Macaca mulatta: one gene and its partners. The protein of the gene in region 2 interacts with the protein of the main gene of each other region in a pairwise test. Links are inferred from orthologs where the notes say so. Each region holds a gene or a part of one and is shown on either strand. Other genes may lie near its edges.

Region 1 (3,649 bases), about 110 Mb from region 2:
AGCCCTTCCCCTGGACACCTACCCGGTGTCACTTTGAGGAACTGGTTCACCTCCGGAGGCTCTGCTTTGATCACTGGCAGCTGAGTCATCTCTCCTGGGGCCTGAGGAACAGACAAGCCCAGCTCCATTAGCTGCCCCTGGGTCTGTCCCCAGCATGCCATCTACCCACCTCCTCCTTAAGTCTGGTGGCCTGCCCTGCACAGTTGGGGAAGTGGCTGGGCTTGGAGTTCTGGGCACAGTTGCAAGGGAACAGAGGCAAGTTCTTGAGCCTAGGAAAGCCAAGTTACACCTAAGAGAAAGGACTGGTGGCCAAGTAATGTAGCTCAGACCTTAAGCTCAGAGAAGGTGAGCCTCTGAGGGTGGGGCCACCTTCCACACCAACTGTGAAGGCCACACAGGCTTTGGTATGTGGGTTGCCATGAGGACAAGAACAAGAGGTAATGTCTGGAATAGTGTAGCTGTTCAATGGCTGGTAGCAATAGTACAGAAGAAGGAGGCATTAATTGGCTGGGGGCTCCGAGGACGCTCCCTGAGAAGTCAAAGTCTGAAATGAGTCCCGGGGTATAAATAGAAGTAGAATCCAGACAAAGAAGTTGGAGGCAATGAGAGCTCCTAATGGATTTGAAGCAAGGGCCTGATAGAATCAGATGGACATTTTTAACAAACATGCATTTCTCTTTATTTCTATTCTGACTTGTGGTTCCAGAAAGGACTTCAAGAACATGCATGGCTTTGTACACATGACTACCGACATGCATGTAAGTGGTGCTCTCTCTGAGGAAGGCATGGTGTTGGGGGCTGGATTTCAGGCCCTGGGCTGCAGCCCCAGAGAGAAGATCGTGATATTGTGGGTGGGACGCAGAATCCAGAATGTAGGCTGATGAGTAAGAATCCCAGAAAGTTCAAGTTGGCAGGGACCTTGGAGACTCCTTGGTCCACATCCCAGCTGATCCCTCGAGTGAGAGGGGACTGTGGTGCAGAGAACTCACTGTTGACAATGCCAGCTCCTGTGCCTTCTACTAGGGGTTATGACCTCCCCTGTGTGGGCTTCAGGGTCTGGCAGGCCGAATTTGGAAGGCAGGTCAGTTGCTTCTAACTGCATGATTTTGGGCAAATTGCTTAACCCCTTGAGCCTCGGTTTCCCTGTCTGAAGCCTCCTCGCCTCTGGCTGCTGCTGCTGTCACTCCTTTGGCAAAGCCTGAGGAGTCTCAGAACCAGTCTTGGAGACGGTTTCAAAAGATCCTGCATATTTGCCACCAACCCTTGATCCCATGGGTCTGTGGTGGGGCAGACAGGGGCTGACCTTTCTTGCTTCGGCCACCTACAGTTTGAGCAAGTGAGCCGTGTGGCCAGCAGGGGGCAGGGCCAGCCACGTTCCCATCTAGGGATTTTAAGATGCTGCTCATCCTGTGGAATCCTAGGGCTAGAGGCACCTTAGGGGGTTCATGAGCCCATTTTACAGAGAAGGAGGACACGGAACGTGCCCAGAACACAGAGGAGGCTCCGAGTTGGGACTCAGGCAGGGCCTTGGCTAGGAGCCAGGGGTCTGGGGTTCACATTCCCAGAGGGGTCTTGGGTTTATAGCTGAATGCTGTCATCTACACATTTGTGGAGGTGGGAGCTCAGCCTGAGAGTGTGGGTTAAAAATATTAATCTCATAAATGTAAACAATTGGAATATAGCACACTTTTTTTTTTTTTTTTTGTAATTTCCATTTTGGTCTTTCTTTTTTAAAAATCCGGAAGCTTTGAGAAAAGTCATCTGCCTGGACTGTCTCTACCTCTGAGACCCTGGACTGGGCTCCTGATGCCAGCCCTGCAAGTTGTCTTTTTCTGCACAGGCGAGAGCCTTTGTTACTCCAAGGGGGCTGTGGCTTGTGCCCGTTGCAGGATGGTGAAGGGGCAGCCAGTGGAGCAGGCGGAGGCCTGGGCTGGGCTGAGGCTTCCCACCCTCAGCCCTGAGGCTCCTGTCTTCCTGTTCACAGAGCCCTGGGGCACAGGGCTTTGGGCAACTCTTCCCGCAGACCCACCAGCCCTCCTCCCTCCCTCAGCCCTTACAAACCATCCCCAGGCTCACCTGGTGGGGGATGGGCAGCCTGGACAACGGGCTGAGGCCCAGCAGCGGGGTGGTGGCCATGGCGGCCGCGGCAGACATGGCCGAGGGGGCAGCCAGGGGGTCCACAGGCAGCTCCGGGCTCTGCTCCTGCTTCACCATGATGGAGCACAGTTTGTGTCCCAGCGCCCACGCTCCATGCTCCACGTCTAGGGGAAGGGGAAAGGCTCAGGGGACTCCAGGGCAGAGGTCTCAGTCCCCTGCCTGCCCTCTGGGAGCTGCTCTAGGCTGAACTGAAGAGAGCTGTTGGGATATACCAGGGGCAGGCGGGAAAGAGGGTGGTTGTGAGGTGAGGGGGAATTGTCTTGGGCCAGAAGAGGGGAGGACATCCTCTTCATTCAGCAGCTTACAGAATGAGCTTGGGCACCAGATTCACACTCCTCTTGATTGGCTGTGTGACCTTAGGCTAGTTGCTTAACCTCTCTGAGCCTGAGCTTCTTCATCTGTAAAATGGGGAAAGAACCTAATAGAGAATTCTGAGGCTTAAGTAGTATAATGTACATAAGACACTTAACACTGTGAGTGTTAATACTTAACACTGGTGAGAAGCAAATGTTCAGGCTGGGTGCCGTGGCTCACTCCTGTAATCCCAGCACTTTGGAAAGTCAAGACAGGCAGAACGCTTGAGCCCAGGAATTCGTAACCAGCCTGGGAACCATGGCGAAATCCCATCTCTACCAAAAATAAACACACACAAAATTAGCTGGGTGTGGTGGTGTGTGCCTATAATCCCAGCTACTCAGGAGGCTGAGGTGGGAGAATCACTTGAGTGGCCAGGTGCAGTGGCCCACACCTGTACTCCAGTTCTTTGAGAGGCCAAGGCAGGCGGATCGCTTGAGTCCAGGAGATCGAGACTAGCCCGGACAACATGGTGAAAGCCCGTCTCTACTAAAAATACAAACATTAGCCAGTTGTGGCGGCACATGCCTGTAGTCCCAGCTACTGGGGAGGCTGAGGCAGGAGAATCGCTTGAACCCGGGAGGCAGAGGTTGCAGTGAGCTGAGATCGTGCAACTGTACTCCAGCCTGGGCACAGAGTGAGACTCTGTCTCAAAAAAAAAAAAAAAAAAAAAAAGAGAGAGAGAATTGCTTGGGAGGCGGAGGTTGCAGTGAGCCAAGATTGCGCTACTGCACTCCAGCCTAGACAGAGTGAGACTCTGTCTCGGAAAAAAAAAAGAAAAAAAAGGAATAAGTGTTCAATAAACACAAGCCAGTGTTAAAATACAGCTATTGTTATTTAGTAAACATTTGCTGAGAACTGTGCTAGGTGCTGGGGATATAGGAAGAGTCACAAGCAGTTTAGCAAAGTTGGAATGCAAAGGGGAGTGGAAGATGGAGTCAGAGAGGCTACTGGGGGTGACTTGGCCTTGGAGGCTGGGTTAGTTCAGATATGTGACTTTATCCTAAAGCAAATGGGGAGCCACTGAAGAGTTTTGCATGTGCTCAAATTTATAATTTTTTTTTAGGTGTTTTTTTTGTTTGTTTGTTTTTGTTTTTGTTTTTTTTTTTTACTGAGACAGGATCTCACTCATTCGCCC
Region 2 (3,749 bases):
GTACAATAGGGTTGGCCCATTGTTATATCTTGTTTTAAAGTGTTTCCTAGTTGTTTCATGTGTTGTTGACCTAACATTACAAAACCACAGGCTATTAAGACAGGAGTCACATCTCATTTCCGGTATATCTTCACAGTTCCTGACAGAACATAGCTGCAGTCAACACTCAATTCCAGTGAAATGAATTCATCAAAATAATGGATTTCTTAGCCACAGAGCTTCTCACTGGGCCAAGTAATGTTAAGTTGCTAAACACACAACAAATCATTGGTTATGTTATATGACTGCAAATGAAGCCTTGAAAGTAGAATAAATTTGAGAGGTGCAGTTGATGAAATTCAAGCATCTTCTTCTTTTTGGTTCATAAAGCTGTGATTCAGGAGAATTCCTTCAATCAGAGATGCAGTGCTCTAAGATTGAATAGTTTGCTTCATGGTATTTCTGAATTTTGTTTAGGGTCAAAGGTTCAAACGGTGCAACTCTCCAATTTGGTATTGATTTTTGTTTTCCCTTCTTGATTCAGTGGTGGAGCACGTAGCCTGTCTGTCCTACTTCCTTTGGTTGTCCTGATTGATGCATCTTTTGGTCTAACAGGCCATAGCCTCAAAGCAAAGTCATGGCAAGCTTTAGTTGGCAGTAAGGTAACAGCAGTCTGCCAATAGCGTGGGCCAACTCCAGTTCCAGCAGCCTGGCGGCAGAGGGTTTACTTGATGGACCCAGGGCCGCTTCCCCAGTCTGTCCCGTGGGTAGAATGATCCTTGCCTTAGTCTGCTTCGCAAGGCTAATGGAAGAATTAAATGCCAAATAAAATAAGGCGAGATAAAGATAAATGAAGCGTGCTGTTATTATAACTGGTACTTCGTCCTCAGTTCCCTCCAGGAGGGTTGTTGGAGCACCTAATGACCGGGCCTAAGCTGACTTGTCCCCCACATCTTGCGCCCCACTCGAGCCAGTGGGTTGGGGAGTGAGATGTTCATCAGACCCCAGAAAACGCACTTACGTCTAGACAACTGTGCAGCTCTCCGGAGTTTGAGATCTGAGCTTCCCAGCCCCGCCGCTTCGCAGCCTGGATGCGCAATCTCTATGGTGACAGCGAGTGGGCCGGAAGAAGCCTCTCTCTTCCGCCCAACAACCCGCCCTCGGGCTAGACTGACCAATGGCCCAACGAGTTACGGAGAGATTATGTGATTGACATGGGGGGGTGTGGCGTGCAGCTCGGACCGCTGCTACCCAACCGAACTGAGGTCGGGCCAAGGGCCGACAGGCACCGACCAATCGGAGGGCGTAACAAAGGGTGACGAGCCAACCCACCGCGCTCGGCGTTGCCGGGAGCCGCGCTAGGCGTAAGCTAATAAGGAAGAAGTTGGGCGTTGAGAGAGCGACGCTGATTAGTGAATGTTAAATCACCTGAATGAAAGCCCACTTGTGATTCGCCCTAAGTAAACTGGAGCCCGGTGGGCTGGAACCGGCCGGAATCTGAGGTGTGAGTACTGCCTGGGTGGACAGTGGGATCCAGGTGAGGCGGGCAGAGGTGAGGAAAGCAGGGCGGCTGCGGAGAAGGGAGAAAAGTGGCGGGTCGGGCTGAGGTGGTTGGAAGAAGGCGTGGGCGGACGGCGGTGCACGGACCTCGCAGACCGCCCTTACCGCTGATCTGGCCCCAAGGCCCGGCTAATAAATACTTAATGTGAGGCAGAGAAGGAAGGGCTGTTCTGTGTTTCATACTCTTAAGAAAAGGAAGTGTCAGTGCCTGATTCAGATCTCTTATGATCAAGACCTTAATCCCTCTCCAGCTACTGGGAGGTGGCCAGGTGAACATTCTGAAGACGAGACATAGGGGGTATCGTTTTCCTGTCGCCAGTTTGAATCTGCAACAGAGTTGGGGAGAAGCTTAGAGTTCCAGTAGAGTGTTCCCAGGCTGCAGTGCTGTGAGATGCAGAGAGCGGAGAGACCGAGGCTCTGCAGCCGTTCCAACCCACAACACCGTCCAGGAGAGAGATGCAAGGACGAGACCTAGGTTTACTGATCCTCCTTTTCTATCAACGTGTTAAGAGCAGATGCTACATCGGTGGCATTTTGGGAGCTTGGCAACTGATTTTTTTCCCAGGCTTGCATTTTATCTCATTACAAAGGTAGAGGCGTTATTCTAATATTTTAAAATTCAAAAGATAGTGAAGTATTTAAAGTAGATACATAAAAGTGTGAAAGTAACCGCCCAGTTATTTTTGAAGGGTTGGAAAACAGCTATAAAGCAAAGTGGAAAGAACTGTTCCAGAAGAGCACTTCACTCCTGTAACCCACTGTTTTCTGTTGCTTTCAAGGGCTTGAGTCAGTGTGAAAATCGGGGGATGGGTGAGATATCTCCCACCAGCAGCAGCACTTAGGCCACATTACCCTCTGAGGAATCCACATTTGTCTTAGGTAGTAAGTCATCTTATAGTGGCCGTTAGTATTCTCACTCATGATGATCAGCCTGGTGATGAGTACTGTGTTTTTAATCCATTAGGTTACCTGTGCAGGGATCAGTCAATTTATTCCTATTTTCTCTGACAGCTGGATGAAAGGGTATGTAGAAACAATCGTTAAATGAACACACACATCTAAAAGGTTTTGAACAAACTCTTTCCAGAGAAAAACCTCACAGCATTGAGCACAGAAGGAAAACATTGGCCTTGTAGTTGCTCTTGTCAGCTGCTGAACGGTTCAAATTTAAATTATTTTTTTCCACTCCAATCTACCTGCTTTAAATGCCACAGATATTAAGTAAATGGACTTACCCTTGAAATCAGGTTGGCCAAGCCATCACTTCTCAAAGAAGGTTTACTGATGGCGTGAACAGTAAATAAAAACACTTCCGTTTTAATATTTTATTGTATTGTACTCAATAACAATAATTTAGCCATTCTAATATGGGAAATTATCACAGATATTATCACATTGAAATAAGATGAAAATGACTAGATGTTCTCTCTTCCCCTATAGCAGCACTCTATACTATACCCAGCTCTTCTTTCTATGCTTTGTAAGAAAATGTATAGTTTGCTTATAAAATTGTGAGCTCCATTCTTAAAAGAGCTTGGGAATATTTATCTTATTTACTTTAAAGCCATACCATATGTAAACCAATGTCTCATGAACTCTTAAGCTACTAAGGGGGATTGAAGGGCAACATTTCTAATGGTGCCAGCCAGCTTCAACTACCATTTGCCCTCTATTCTAACTGTTAGAGTTGATCCAAGTCTTCTAGGTTATTTGTGTAATATCCAGAATAGCACAAATTAAATTTAAATAGTTGTTTTCTTAAGGGCAGTACCATCAGGTCAGACAACTAAGCTAGAAACTTGTGTCATTTCTAACACCTTCTCCCTTGACACAGCTAAGACTGGAGTTCAGACCCTCATCTCTTATCTGGAGAATTGCGTTTCTTAACTGATCACCCAATTCATATGCATTCTGCTGCCCATTACCTTTTTAAAAATTAAAAATTATCACAAAAAATTTAAAAACAGAAAATAGTACATTGGGTAGTATAATATCTATGTTTCACCAGATTAATAAATATTAACATTTTGGCACACCCGTTCAAGTTTTTTATTTTAAAGAAATAAAACATCACAGATTTAGTTCAGATCTCTTTTATTTCCACTCCCAACACCATTCCCTTTCCTTCCTCCCTCTCCAGAGGCAAACAGTCTTTTGAAATTGTCATACATCATTTATGCCCATGTTTTTATACTTTTGCCGTATATATG
Region 3 (3,749 bases), on a different chromosome or scaffold from region 2:
TTGCACAGGAAATTACAACAGCATCTCCAATATGGCTGAGATCTCGGCATATACGTGCAAATTCACCAGAAGGCATCTTTACTACACAGCTGTACTCTTGTTCCTATTAAGAACAAAAATTTTCCAAAAGTTACTTGTTAGAAATTTAATGATTTGGCACCCTCACTTTCTTAAAAGGCAACATCTAAACAACTCAGAATCAAGATTTTCTGATTACTGACTCGTGTAATTTCTTAACAAACTCCACTCAAAAAAAATAAATGGCTATTAAATGCACTGCCCAGGGAACAAGCGCCTCCTCCTCCTCATCCTCCAGGGATAAAGTAAGAGAACATTAGAGTATGCCACAGAAATGATGACGGCGCAAGCAGGTCTAACTATTTTCTAAAAGAAAACGAGAGAATATGATATTAGGCATTTTCAACATTCCAACATTTCTTCTCTCCTTTGGTGTTTATAAACCTAACCTGGATACATTTCTTCTAAGATAGCTTTCAAACCCACTTAACAAAAATCAAGCATCGGGCCGGGCGCGGTGGCTCAAGCCTGTAATCCCAGCACTTTGGAAGGCCGAGACAGGCGGATCACAAGGTCAGGAGATCGAGACCATCCTGGCTAACCTGGTGAAACCCCGTCTCTACTAAAAAATACAAAAAAAAAAAAAAAAAAAAAAAAAAAAAAACTAGCCGGGCGAGGTGGTGGGCGCCTGTAGTCCCAGCTACTCGGGAAGCTGAGGCAGGAGAATGGCGTAAATCTGGGTGGCAGAGCTTGCAGTGAGCTGAGATCCGGCCACAGCACTCCAGCCTGGGCGACAGAGCGAGACTCCGCCTCAAAAACAAAACAAAACAAAACAAAACCAACCATCCTAGAAGGAAGCAAATTTTAAAAGAGGTTCATGGAAATTAATGCAAATAGACAACTGGCAGTAAACAATAAATTTAACCAGTGAGTTTTAGACTTGTGGTAAACAACTATCCAAATACTAAAATCTCTTTAAAACATGCACCAGTAGATATGTTTCTAGAAAAAGTTCTGTTATGAAGTAGGCTTAAATTATATTAACTTATCTTGACGGAGGAGGATCATTGAGGCCAGGAGTTCCAGACCAGCCTGGGCAAGACTGCCCCCACACCCACACACAAAAATAAAAAAATTAGCCAGGCGTGGTGGGACAGATCTGTAGTCCTTCCTAGCCACTTAGGAGACTAAGTGGATTGCTTGAGCCCAGGAGTCCCAGGTTACAGTGAGCTATATGGCACCACTGCACTCCAGCCTGGGGAAAAGAGGAAGACCCTGTCTGTAAAAATAAACAACATTCTATGATATAACTATCATGCCTGTGTACAGCAGTCGCTACAATCAGAAACTGATACTCACTGGAATTCCAAGTTGTTCAACATCCAAATCCATCAACTTCATTTCATAGTCTGAAACTTTCTCCTGGTCTACCAAAAAAAAGCAAATGCTGTTGAGAAACACTGGCACAGAGTTTTGATCTTCTGTAGCTTCATAACTCAGTAAAAAGGTACGACTTACTGGGTGCTTCAAATACTAGCGCCAAGGTATCCGCATTATCTTCAGCCCTTAGTGTAATGATATCTTCATTGCCGGCGCATTTTAGTATTTTGGACATACTAGAAGACAGGAGACACATGGTTTAAAATCAACACCATCTACTGAAGGTCTGTATTTCTAATGCAGTTAGAAGGGGTTACCACTCTCACCCATAGGCCGTCTCAGAACTGGTGGAGGGTAATTGCACTGCTGGAGGATGCGAATATTAATGCAGACATTTTGGGATGCATCTGGCAGTATTTATACTAAAATACCACCAGCAGTTTCCCTTCTGGATAGAAACAATCTCCTGCCACTAAGTAGGATGACAGGCTGACACTTTTCTCGCAAGGGCACATTATAAAGCATTTAAAGTCAATCGCGACTGAGCCGGGAGGATCGCCTGAGCCCAGAAGTTGGAGACCAGCCCGGGCCAACACATCGAGACCGTCTCGGAAACAAAAAAGCCACAACTAAAGCGTCCATTCAAGGCCAACAGGATTTAGTGAGCAAAAGCTCTGGAGCAGTGTTCCTGGCACTGCAGAAAAACCAGTCATTTTCCCGCCACCACCCGCTTTGTGACTTTGGCGCGAAAAAGCAGGTTCGCGCAGCAGCCAGCGCGGGCTTTTCCGAACCGCGCGCTCAGCTGGGCCCCACCCCCCTGCATGGCAGGCCAATGAGAAGGTGCGGATGGTCCACGCCAGCCAATGAGGGCTCGGCTCGGAAGCGATCCCGCCAAACCCCGGAGGTGGGGGTGGGCCGGGGCCGGCTTCTCGACGCCGCGAGGCTCACCTGGTGAGGTTCACGCCCATAGCCAGGTTGCGGTCGCAGCGGTAGGTGTCGAAGCCCTCAGACCGCAGGGTGAGCTGCACCAAGGAGACGTGGGACGAGTCCATGCTCTGCAGATTTACGCCGCTGGAGCTAATATCCCAGCAGGCCTCGTTGATGAGGTCCTTGAGGGCCTCCAACACCTTCTTCAGGATGGAGCCCTGGACCAGGCGCGCCTCGAACATGGTGGCGGAGTGGCAGCAACGCGGCTACAGGCAGGCGGGAAGGAGGAAAGTCTAGCCGGTTTCCGCTTCAGGAGCCTCAGAGCGAGCGGGCGAACGTCGTGACGAGAAGCTGAGACCTAGAAACAGAACTACCAGTCTGCTACGCCTGCAACCGTTTAATGCCGCCGCGTCCGCCAGCGCGCGCTCTTACCCTGCGCCGCGTTGCGACGTCACCACGCTGCCCGGCCCACGGCCTGGGCGGGTTAGAATTTAGGGCCAATCGTGCCGATGCTCCCCGCGAGGCCCGCCCCCTAGGACATACATTGGAGGAAGCGGGTGCAGGGCGGGGCAGCGTCCCGCAGGTCTCCCCGCCTCTTCGCCTGACTCCTGAACCTGACCACTGAACAAGTCCGGGCATATGTGGGGATCCGGCCCAGGCCCCGGTTCGTCAAGCCCCAGCTTTATGGTGCCTCCTCAGCCTCCAGCTCCGTGGGTAGAAAGTTTCCAGCCACGAAAGTGAAAGTGAAAAGCAAATCCAGCCTACCGGGAGGAAAAGCCTCCTTGTAGCCTGAAGAGTACAGCTGCTGCAAATATGCACTTTATTTTTCAATTACAAAAGTGATGCGCTCCTAAGTGTCACACCATAAAGAGTTATGTTAAACTTAGCTCCCTCTCACCTCTTAACATTCCACTGCCAGCTCTTATAATCACTCAATCGTTCCTTGTATAAAGCTTTTAAAGCTTTTTTGAAAGTTCGAATACACTTTTTTTTTTCAAAATGCACTCATTCCGTAAACACTTCGAAAAAGTACTTAATAAAGTACATTTAATTTTATGCCACGTACATCTTTTTTATATCAGTACCTCTTTAAAAGATAGCATCACATGTATGTAACTTATCAATCTCCTGTTAATTACAAACACCTTTGAGCACTTAGGCAATTTTGGTGCTATCAACTCCTTGAAGTAATACAGCTGAGTCAAAGAGCGTACACATTTAATTTTTTTTCTTTTCTTTCTTTCTTTTTTTTTGAGATGGAGTCCTGCTCTGTCATTCAGGCTGGAGTGCAGTGGCGCGATCTCGGCTCACTGCAACCTCCGCCTCCCAGGTTCAAATGATTCTCCTGCCTCAGCCTCCCGAGTAGCTGGGATTACAGGCGCCTACCACCGCGCCCGACTAATTTTTTTTTTTTTTTTTTTTAG

What was found.
Region 1: the proteins of TMEM218 (region 2) and CREB3L1 interact in binary tests that used the Homo sapiens proteins (3 or more experiments, as listed by UniProt). The link is inferred for Macaca mulatta from reciprocal best matches to the Homo sapiens genes TMEM218 and CREB3L1.
Region 3: the proteins of TMEM218 (region 2) and PCNA interact in binary tests that used the Homo sapiens proteins (3 or more experiments, as listed by UniProt). The link is inferred for Macaca mulatta from reciprocal best matches to the Homo sapiens genes TMEM218 and PCNA.

Annotation. Positions count from the first base shown.
Region 1 is NC_133419.1:19,302,901-19,306,549, forward strand, and holds part of CREB3L1 (cyclic AMP-responsive element-binding protein 3-like protein 1), read right to left. Parts: intron 2,262-3,649; coding exon 2,077-2,261; intron 102-2,076; coding exon 23-101; intron 1-22.
Region 2 is NC_133419.1:125,513,814-125,517,562, reverse strand, and holds the start of TMEM218 (transmembrane protein 218), read left to right. Parts: upstream 1-1,437; 5' UTR 1,438-1,483; exon of another isoform or gene 1,484-1,531; intron 1,532-2,503; exon of another isoform or gene 2,504-2,562; intron 2,563-3,749. UniProt on the Homo sapiens protein: May be involved in ciliary biogenesis or function.
Region 3 is NC_133415.1:78,833,837-78,837,585, reverse strand, and holds the start of PCNA (proliferating cell nuclear antigen), read right to left. Parts: upstream 2,760-3,749; 5' UTR 2,568-2,759; coding exon 2,347-2,567; intron 1,635-2,346; coding exon 1,537-1,634; intron 1,446-1,536; coding exon 1,378-1,445; intron 104-1,377; coding exon 1-103. UniProt on the Homo sapiens protein: Auxiliary protein of DNA polymerase delta and epsilon, is involved in the control of eukaryotic DNA replication by increasing the polymerase's processibility during elongation of the leading strand.